Drosophila melanogaster: one gene and its partners. The protein of the gene in region 1 interacts with the protein of each later gene in a pairwise test. Each region holds a gene or a part of one and is shown in the gene's direction. Other genes may lie near its edges. The genes, in order: Rbpn-5, CG31244 and CG15468.

Region 1 (3,834 bases):
TTCAGGCAGTTGATAAGCCAATTGATCTATAGAAGCTGGATGTTCTGGGTCATGGATCTCACCTTCGATTGTGCGGAATACAACGGCACCGCCGATATTGTATAGTGCCAGGATGAGGATGAGGAAGATGTGGGTGAACCATCGGCGCGACCACTTGTACATGCCGAAGGTCATCTTCTCGCCGAAGCTCAAGCCCGACTTTGTGATATCGAGGAAGCCCTCGTAGCCCTTGGTCATAAAGTTGCCGTATCCGAAGGGATTGGCCATTGGTGGCCAGTAGGGTCCCTGTGTTCCATTGCCCGTGAAGTTCGTTTGGGCCGTATAGGGTGGCTGGGCACTGGGTGGCATCGATGCCTGGCTCATTGCCGATCCGCTGGTCAGATTGTGGATGTTGATCCTGGGCGGTCGATTTGCCCGCCGTGAAGGCGGCGGTGTGCTGGGAATGGGTGTTATGCTCTGGGTTTGCGACATGGTCGGTTTTTTTTTTGGTATATCCGGGAATCTATATGGATTCGCTTTGCAATTTTCTAATTGATATCCGTAGGAACTCAAAACATTGGGCACTTTATGGTCATTATTCAAGTTCCGTTCACATACATATATCGCGGCGGTTGTACTTATATATTTGTATTATTTTTAAGTTTATAAGTAGAAATGCCGTCGCGATTCCAAGGCGCCGCGTATTTATTTCTTCGCGTACTTTTTTTTCCCGCTTCCGACCGCCTCGTTCCTGAATCCAATGCGAACTGAACAGACGCCAAATATTTTGGCCAACATCGCTGCTGTTGTCGCTGGGCATAATGCTGTAGTATTTGTATCGGCCACGAATCTCCGGCTGCCGACTATGACGACATCGAAAGTCATGAGCTCACAAGCCTGCCAACAAGTCCAAGACCTAGAAGACCCAACGGATCTCAGCGTACACTGACGAAAAAAATGGTCTATGTAATGCCTAATGCTATGATTTAATTAATATTATTGGCTATAAGGTGGTTAACAAATGTTTAAAGTTAACATTAGTTACAGCGTACAATTATTTTTTACCTATCGACTAAAATGTTTTCCAATTTCTGGTAGTGTACAGCCATGATAATTTTATAATTAGTCAAGTTTTCGGCTTCCTCAGCCGATGCCGAAATTCTGAAATCGAGTTTTGTTCTGGTTAACGCGTAGTTTTGTTATCTCAAATAGTTTGCTATATTGTTATATTTAAATATGTTTTCTCATTAGCTAGGCATTATTGAAGTATTCATTTTCCTCTCATAATTTATCAGCTCTTAGCGTTTTCTCGCGTTTCTGGCGCTTAATAATTTGCATAAAATTAAAAGAACTGACGGTATTAGTCATTCATGATCGGCAGTCATTTACCTTTTCATAGAATTGTGTCTAATATATTCTGCCGTTGTCATTTGGCTTACACACAAATGTTGAAACACTTTCTAGGAAATGCTTAAGAAAATCCTAAATAATTAAGAACGATTAAGATGCAATTATAAACATTATACAAATTTAAATTATATGGTATTGTTTATTTATATTCCTTACCCATTTGTTTTCTTTTTCTATTTATAGTTCCTGATGGCTGATGATAACAAAAAATTCGAGGAATATCTAGATTTAGATTTTAGACTAAGATATAAAAGGACAAAGGAGTGATTTTAAAGGATTCCGACTTTTAACTTAATAAAACGGGTTCTTAAAAAGGACACATTAAAAGGACATAAAATAAGAATACATTTGCAAATTGGCGAAGGGAAATTATTAAAACTATTTTACCAAGTATCTGTAAGTAAATATTTTAAACTTTCTATACTTCTATAGAAAACTTAATCCCAAAAGATGTTTATCAAGCTCAATAAAGTTAGATTTTGAAAACCTTTTTTAACGGCACTGCCAAGCAATACTAAAGTATTAACTATCGGTATTATTCAAATATGGTAACACCAAGAGCAGTGTTGAAAATCGCTCAAATGTATATGTTCTAATTGGTGCGCTCACATATGTACATATAAACTAATAAATTGGCCATCACACAATATAGAAAATGGAAGAAAACGAGACCCGGTCAGAGGCCAGGGAACCCACGGACCTGCCCAATGGTAAGGCAGCACCACAGGAAGCCTGAACAGCCGATAACTAACCCATAACTCCAACGGCAGGTGAGGATGACGCGACCAGCCAGCACAAACTCAGTCACCTGCAGAACGAGATGCGCAAAATGCAGAACGAGTTCAACACGCAGCGGGCGAAGATGCGGGAGCTGTACATCCAGAAGGAGGCGGAGGTCAGCCAGAGCCAGCAGGAGCGACGGCAGCTGCAGGCGGAGCTGGACGAGCTGAAGACACACCTAATGGTGGCGGACCTTAAGTCGCAGAACGAGCTGCAGCTGAGGGACCTCAAGGCGCAGGAGGAGATCTCCTCGCTGCAGCAGCTGGTGCAGGACACTATCGAGGAGACCGCGCACTACAAAGGCGAGGTGGAACGGCTCAGGCTGGAGCTGGGCAAGTACCAGCAGATTCAACAGCAGACGATGGCTCAACAACCGCAGGCCGAGTCATCTGGCGGTATAGCGCCGCAGGTGCTCAATCAGGTCAAGAAGACACTAGGCTCTGTGCGTAAACTGGGCACCGACTCCCTGAACAGCAGCTTTCAGCAGGACGAGGACACCCGGGCATCGAGCAAGGGCAATGGCAAGCAATACGTATGTTTTCGGGACTAATCTTTCAACTATCAAATTAACTGAGCTTATATTGCAGGCTCCTGAGGAGGCGGAGATGATGCACTCAATTGTCGAGCAGCTTCAGGAGGAGATGAAGGCACTAAAAGTGAAGCTGCGCGAACAGGACGAGCAACTGCAGGCCAAGTCGGCGTCCGATGAATCCGCCCTGCACAAGTCCACGTCCATGGACGTCGCCGAGAGCGCCTGCGAGTCGTGCAGCTTGGCAGAAAAGAAGACCGAAGAGCTGGGTGCCCATATAAACAAACAGCAGAAACAGGTGGATCTGCTGCAAAAGCAGCTGGTGGAATCCCGGGAGACACTGGTTAAGGAGGCGGCATTGCGCAAGGATCTGGAGGACCAGTGGCAAGAAAAGCGGGAGGCCCACAAAAGCGAAGTACAAAGCCTGCGTGACCAGGCCAAAACCAACGAGCAGCGACTGCTGGACATGCAGCAAAAGTTTCTCGAGACCAAGGACGAGGTTATTAAGCAGATCCAGCGCGTCTCCGACGACCGAGAGCGGGTCAACAAGCAACTGGAGACGTTGCAGGCGGACAACGACTTTCTGTCCGGTCGCTATCTGGCCACGTCCGAGGAGATCGACAACCAATATATCAATCTGCCCAACACGGTCGTCGAGCTCCAGGAGCTGATACTGCGACAGCAAAGCGAGCTAATCCAAGCACGCGTCAGCAGCGAATACGAGCGACAGAAGTGCACCAGCACTGAAGATGAGATTCAGATCTTGCGGGCCCAGCTGGAGGAGAGCAACAATGAAAGGCGGGCCTACAAGCGCAAAATGCAACTAGATATTAAGTCACTGCAGTAAGTTACAACCTCTTGTCTATGGTGGTGTTCACTTTGGCCCACGTTTTAAATGAATTTTCAGGGATCGGGTGACGGAACACTTGGTCACGGTACAAGCGTACGAGACTACCAAAACCCAACTGGAGCGCAAAGAGGCTGAGCTGAACAAGCAGCTCTCCGAGTGTCGCGTGGAGATCATTGAGCTGCAAGAGGCCAATGTAAGCTATCATATTTTGTTGTCACACTTGATTCTTCGCTAACCAGATCACATTACAGGAAAAGTACGCCAAAACAAATGCAGACTACAAGAC
Region 2 (3,303 bases), on another chromosome or scaffold:
AAAGCACTTGCTCTATAACCGGTAAGTGGATAGGTTTTGAACATTTTATCATATTTGAATTTTTAATCCTTGACTGCCCATTTGCAGGTTCAATATCTTCAAATCGGAATACATACAGAGGTCTCTCTTTGAGGATGTGAACGTGAATAGTTGCTTCGGATTTACCCGGCTTTGCGATTTATCTGTGGGAGATATGGTAGAAGTAACTTTAAATGGACTGATAGATTTGTGAGTATTCCTATACCCTTTACCTGTAAGTAACATGTTTATAATAGCAAAATTCGCAAATGTCGTGCTCCTTTGTTTGATAATAACAAATGGTTAAATACTTACAATACTTACGTTTGTTTTTCTACAGTCTTTTGCATTATCGAAGAGTTTTGGAGAAATACCCACTGCTGGCCTACCGTCGCTTTTGGTGGAAAAAGCAGCCGGACAGTAGATATCAACTGCTGGAGCCGATGTTGGAAAACAAACTAGCTCTCGACTATATGCCACCAAACAGTGTCCTTAAGAACTTCATATTCACAGCAATGGTATAATTATTTATATTTATAAATTTTTATTCGAACAATTTATACAATGATTTATGCTTAAAGACCGCCAACGAAAGCAGCGTTTACGCATTTGGCGATTACTTTACGTACAATATGCAGGAAACTATCGAACACCGTGTAATTCGGTCAAAGATTCTGAAGAAGAAAACGTCGCTAATCGAGGAGATGGAGGATGTGTCCAAGCAAAAGCTGGAAATCGAGTCTGTGGAGGTGCAAACAAAGTCGAATGCCAAAAGCGATGTTAAGGTGACGACGCTGCTGCTGCTACCAGAGTTTCCGCATCGCCCACGAAAGCCAAGAAAATACGTATGCGAACCGCTTTCCATGCCACGAATACTTTACGATTTGGGACAAAAAGTTCAAGCTGTGCATAGATATTTATAGTAAGTTTCAAATGGATTCATCGAAACCGATCCAGGTTTTTAACTTTTTTTATATCAATTTTAGCTGCGATAGTCGATCTGCAGCGTGGTCCCAGATTCGCCACAATCAGTGTGAGAATAGCCAGGGCAGGGAGCTTGTCTCCAGTGGATTGGCCTTGTGCAAGCCTCATGGTGGATGGTCCTCGATTGTGGTGCCCGACAAGGAAACCCTGATTACCGATGCTGGTAAGCTTTTTGTTCTTGACAACTTGCTAACTCGATTGAAGGCGAATGGACATCGAGTACTCATATACTCGCAGATGACCAAGATGATAGACCTGCTCGAGGTAAGTTTATTAAACTTGAAACGATCACTGTTCAGTTTAATTTTTTGATAAAATGTCTAGGAGTACATGTGGCACCGCAAGCATCGCTATATGCGCCTGGATGGCTCAAGCAAGATATCCGCTCGTCGCGATATGGTTGCCGATTTTCAAACGAGAGCAGATATCTTCGTGTTCTTACTGTCTACGAGAGCCGGAGGACTGGGAATTAATTTAACAGCCGCCGATACGGTGAGTTCATATTATACTTACTTTTTCATTTATGTATATTGATGTACAATATCAATTTTTTTTACCGTGCCTTTCAAAAAAGTTTGTCCCTTGTTTCGATTTCGTTTAATTTTTTCTTGAAATCACATTGTGAATTTATATTAGTGCCTTTTAAAAACTTTTCACTCATACGCTCTCCGAAATTTCTATTGTATTAGTCAAATCCATTCATTTTCAACAATAACTTTAAGTAGTCCAAATTTCAAGTTCATTTCAAATGCATAACAACAGCTGTTTAGAACCCATGGACAGGACCAAGACTACGAAACTTCCTCAGCTCAAGTCCAGCGTTACTCCCTACAGACCAAAGCCGAACCTAATCCGTAGTGATTCCCCGAAATTAGAGAACGATAAGCGTAATGGGCTGGACTTGGAGCTTCTGGATAATCCAGAGATACCGAGCGTAAAGCGAGTACGATGGGCTCCGATGTATGGGGAAAGGAGCCCGAGTAAGACCGGCTTTACCAGCGTTCCACTAAGCTCCAAAAAGGCGCAGTTTGATCATGATACGACAGATGAGTTAATACTGGCTAACGAGCTTCGATTAGCGGTGCATCGTGGGGGAGGTTCCATAGATCCCGACAAGAACTACGAGCTGAGGGCTCGACTGTCGCCCTTGCAATTGCCGTACAGTCGAGTGCAGCGAATTCTGAAGGAGTGCGAGTTGAGCGAGAGGAATCATCACACCTATAGTATACCCATGGACTATGGGCGGCAATTGGTTGCCATGGTTTGCAAGATCAGGACGGATAATCTCCCCGAACTGAAACTTCGCTTGGCCTCCTTACTGCGGCAAAACAAAGCGCGCTTCTTCAATCGACATTTATTCAACGAAACTGGCTTGATTGAGGCCACATTGCCGAGCGTAACACCATTAAGCTTTGAGGAATTCAATCAAACGTTGCGAATTGATGCTTTGTGGTGCAAAGCCACCGATAGTACCATTACCGATTTGGCCAAAGGATCTGTTTTGTTCAAATGTCGGCCTCTGGACCTGCAAGAGGTCGCGTACAAACTCAGGCAGTGCAACTACAAGATTGTACATAAGGAGGTTGGACACTGTCCAAACAAGCCGCTCGTCGAGTTAAATGATCGTCAAATGGCCCGCTATCAGGAGTTTCGTAAAAACCTTCTTCAAGACATAGATGTCGTAAAGATCTATGACAATGTGCGTGTCCAGTAGTTCAAGTCAGTTCGGCAAAAATCACAAGTAATTTTAAATTATCAAAAGTTTAAATTATCCGTAATACAAAACTCTTAATGACCCTCTAGAACTTTATCGTATAAACTATTTGTATAGTTTATTGTAAAGAATGTTTTCTCTATTTTTTTTTAAAGTGTGTTTTGATCAGTACTCTATTCAAGTACGAAAAATAGCCATATGTTTTCACATATGAGAGCGTAATTATAATTGGGACTGCTTTGAGTAGGTACTCAAACGTCGAATATATAAGCGGTGACTAATTTGGAAAGTCAAATAAATTTTAAATATAGTACTATGACTTCTTCCAAAATGTTTTATATTTTTTCATATGCAGGCTTAGCTCTTAGTTCTCTACATTATAGTAATTGTTCCCCATTCATTTGATGATTTATAGACAGGTTTGGGACAATATTTTACACGTCAGTATAGAGAGAGAAATTCCTTTGCCATTGTCCCGATCTCGGTGGCGGAAAAACCCTGTGTGGCTCTTGTATTCATTTGCTAAACTACTTGTTCATGCACTGCGGCAATCGATGGTGAATCTTGAGCAAGGGGTGGTGACGGGT
Region 3 (3,834 bases), on another chromosome or scaffold:
ATGAAAAACTCTTTCTACAGGATATCACCATGTCGATCCAGTCGGTGTTTGGCATTATTTTTTATGCGCTGGCTTCTCCACTTAGTTCCAGATGCGGAAATAAATGCACTTGAATTCCTCAACTTGTTACATAAATCGTAATTTTCTATAGACTTGTTCTATATCTAATGTATATTGCATTATTCGCTACTCGTTTTCTCCCAGTTGTTTCTCTTTCTGTTTTTTTTTTTTTGTTGCTTTTCATTATTATTATTATTACTATTATTTTTATTTTATGATCGCTTATCTTCTTCGGAGTCTTCTGCTGGTGCTGCTGATTTTCGCTACCGAAGCTGCGGAGCTGCGAAGATTTGACCGCGCCAGGTTGAGAGTCAAGTCAACTTGGGGCAACTCAAGTCGGAATATATGAATGTCTGAATGTCTGGATGTCTGGGGGGGGGTTTACTCCGTTCCCCTTGTTCGTATACCCATTCTCGCGCACTTGAACTTCCTGCATGACCAAGGCCTCCGGGAGATCAGCAGATCATGTGAACTTTTATGGCCATCATCGGTCATTACTCGTCTTGGTTGCAATTAGGCATCTTAGCGGTATAGTTCTCGACGCCGCCAGTCCTCTTAATTCATTCGTTTTTTTTGTTTTTTTTGTTTTGCACCCATGAAATGCAAATAAAATAAAGCACATTATTAGTATTAGTAAGTTGTGGGAATTATTTTGGACTCATCTCAGTCTCATTTCTTGCAGGAATTATTTTGGACTCATCTCAGTCGCATTTCTTGCAGGAATTATTTTGGACTCATCTCAGTCTCATTTCTTGCAGCTATGTGCAGCTAGTTCAGTGCATATTTCATGTTATTTAAATGCCTGCCCAGGCTCCATCAAATATTTGTTTAACCTGACCCCATTCTTGGGCCTTCGTATCCATCCTATCGCGCAGCTCACATGCCTAAACGTTTCTTAGAGACCTGCGAAATTCCACATGTGACAATTCAGCATTCAGCAGATGCCACGATGGTGAGATGGCTCCAAATGGAATAGCAAAGTTGACTAAAAGCCTGTCAATCGCTGATGTTGCGTGGAAAAAGAAAAAACACTGAACGCAATATTCGGATATTTCTCTGACATACAAAAATAACTCAGCAATTGTTCGTTTATATAATAATGCAAGATTATATAGAGCCTGGCCTATAAATTTTGAATCATATCTCTAATTTCTGAAGAAGATTTGCTACTTCAATTTTGTTCACTGCCTCGAATGGTTTTTGGGCTGATGTCCTATGCAGTAGAGGCCCGAATCTCTGGCAAGCAATTAGCAAGGCAGGGCCCAGAAGAAAGATCACCGCAAGACCACGGTCGGGGGCACCAATTGCAATTGAAGAAAAGGGGCAGCATGGAATAGGAGCCCAGAAGGAAAAGCGGCGAACAGGGGTGACTGAGTGGAAGACAGACGACAGAAGCGGGATTTATCAGAGACAGAAGACTGAGCTTTGTGAGATGGAGATGGAGAAAAGCAATTCTGCGGCTGACGGTTTTCGCAGAAAATTACAACTTGCGGGTAAACAAAGTCAACTGCCGGCAGTTGATGGTGGCTCAATGGTAATGGTGGCTAGCGTGGTAAGAAAGGAGGCGAGGGCTGACTAGAAGAATTGCCGCTGAAGCCACACGCCAAAAGCCAGCCCACAAGCCTCTGGCCCACAGCTCTCTGCTTTTCTTTTGTTTTTTCCTACTCATCGTTGTTTCTTTTTGTTTTTTTTTCTTTCGTTTTCTACTGCCGGACTCCATGTGGAGTGGAGTGGATGTTTCTGCGGATTTGGATGTGGGTGCGCAATTATGCCGCCAGAGCAACTGAGCAGCCATAAATTTTCTTATCAGCGCCGGGCCAAAAAGACAGGAGCGGTTTGGAGTGGTTTTTAAAATCACTAAGGAATCACTAAGAGTTTGAAAAACCCAATTTAAGTGGGCTATGCTTTTTTTACCTTAACGCTCACATATTGCACACACACCCAGACTTAAATCTACACTTTGTTAAAAAAAAAAATTAATAAAAACAAAATGGATAAGGTGAAGATGATACCTACCAATGATGGCGAACCAAGGGATTATCCGCTCGACGAGGATTTTCATCTGCTGCGCGATCTGGGCGACTGTCACAAGGCGAATCTGGCGGACATCGATATCATAGCGCGAACGACCACCAAATGTCAGTTGGGAGGAGAGCAGATGATTTCGCCAGGCTATCAGAGGTTAGGCCCTTCCTTGGATCGAGTACCAGATGATGAGGAAACCGACTCACAGGAGGAGGAGATGGAAATACTGCCATGCGGAATGGGCGAGGAGGGCATAACCACCGATGAGGAGACAAAAACCCTGATTACCATTCAGGGTCTGGACGAGATATTGAAAAGAATCGATATATTGCGTAGTCAACTCCGCAGGAATCAGCAATTGGAGGATATTAGCCAACCATCGGTAATGCCAGAGGATCCGATCTCCTGCAGTGGCCTGAATGCGAAGCAATCGGAGATACGGTGCATTCAACGTGCCCAGCATCACATTCAGTGCCAACTAACCGAACTCCTGTGCCGCTACGATGCCCTCCGGAATATGTTGCGCAGTTTGGGCGAAACGTGGACGTGTCTAGAGCGACGAATTGCCGATATTCGGGGACAGAACCGCGTCCACTTGGCCTGGACTGAGGAGTGCGCCAACGATCTAAGCAACTGCCAGCAGAGACATCGCTCCTTGGCCGCCGTCAAGCTTACCAAAAAGATGGCCCTGCTCGTGACCAAAACGAATATGTCCAGTGGCTTTCGCTATAGCCGTCGATATCTACGACATGCCCTGATCGCTCGACATATCAACGACTTTCGCTACGAGATCGCCGAGTTGAAGGTTTTAAGCGAGGAAATTTTCTCCGAAATCGATGGGCGACTGGACCAGATCAAGATGAAGGCTCAACGATTCGGAGTCGTATTCTCGACCACGCCGCGTCAATCCAATCTAATCGCCGATGGAACTGGCAACACTGAGCTAACCGAGCTAACTGATGCCACCGAAACGTTCACCGTTCCAAGGAGCAATAATCCAAAATAACAATTTCAAGGGCACATAGAGAAAGCACATTATCATTAGGAAATAAAATAGGAAAATCATTAAGTTATAATAAGAGCAAAGAAAAATAAATACAAAAATGTAAAATGCAAACCGAATACGCGGGCAAAAGTGCGCTCCTGTGCTGGGATAAAAAAAAAAAGAAAAAAATAGTGCTAGTGGGAGGCAGCAGGCTGGCGGAGTGGAAAATGGGAAAGCGAAAGAGACGAAGTATGAAGAATGAAGAAAAGAAAAACAAAATGAGCCACCAGCACATGGGTAGTACATCATTTCGGACTTTATCAGCAAAACAGGCAGCCGAGCAGCGCGCGCGTGGGCAGCTCCAGAGTGGAATTCCGATGCCGCCAACGCTTCCCCGGCAGCAACAAAGCAGCAGCAGCAGCAGCAGCAGTCGCAGCAGCAGCAACAACAGCAGCAACAACTGCAATTGCAACTTAATTGAGGCTTGTCTATGCAGTCGTAGCCAAAAGTAACTGCGGTTGCTACTCGCTCTATCTTTTCGCTGTTGTATACAGATACACGCGTGTGTGTGTGTGTGTGTGTTAGCCATCTCATGTCGCCCATTGCGAACTTGATGCCTCGCTGCCCCAGTGCCTTGATGCTCCACAGACGACCAGACAGCAGCAACAACGGCAACATATACACATACCATACAAACATAAATACCCACTATATAATAGCGTACTGAGGGCGTTGAGGCAGCAACATGCCATCCAGTGGCTGAG

What was found.
Region 2: the proteins of Rbpn-5 (region 1) and CG31244 interact in a two-hybrid assay, tested with the Drosophila melanogaster proteins (one large-scale study listed by BioGRID).
Region 3: the proteins of Rbpn-5 (region 1) and CG15468 interact in a two-hybrid assay, tested with the Drosophila melanogaster proteins (one large-scale study listed by BioGRID).

What each region holds. Positions count from the first base shown.
Region 1 is NT_033778.4:21,089,137-21,092,970, reverse strand, and holds the start of Rbpn-5 (Rabaptin-5), read left to right. Parts: upstream 1-1,966; 5' UTR 1,967-2,044; coding exon 2,045-2,099; intron 2,100-2,159; coding exon 2,160-2,701; intron 2,702-2,756; coding exon 2,757-3,541; intron 3,542-3,605; coding exon 3,606-3,741; intron 3,742-3,799; coding exon 3,800-3,834.
Region 2 is NT_033777.3:19,396,930-19,400,232, reverse strand, and holds CG31244 (uncharacterized protein), read left to right. Parts: upstream 1-1,665; 5' UTR 1,666-1,750; coding exon 1,751-2,716; 3' UTR 2,717-2,803; downstream 2,804-3,303. Other genes in the region: INO80 complex subunit, read left to right, coding at 1-21, 88-228, 359-536, 600-940, 1,005-1,266, 1,327-1,494.
Region 3 is NC_004354.4:4,959,294-4,963,127, reverse strand, and holds CG15468 (uncharacterized protein), read left to right. Parts: upstream 1-1,999; 5' UTR 2,000-2,050; coding exon 2,051-3,091; 3' UTR 3,092-3,199; downstream 3,200-3,834.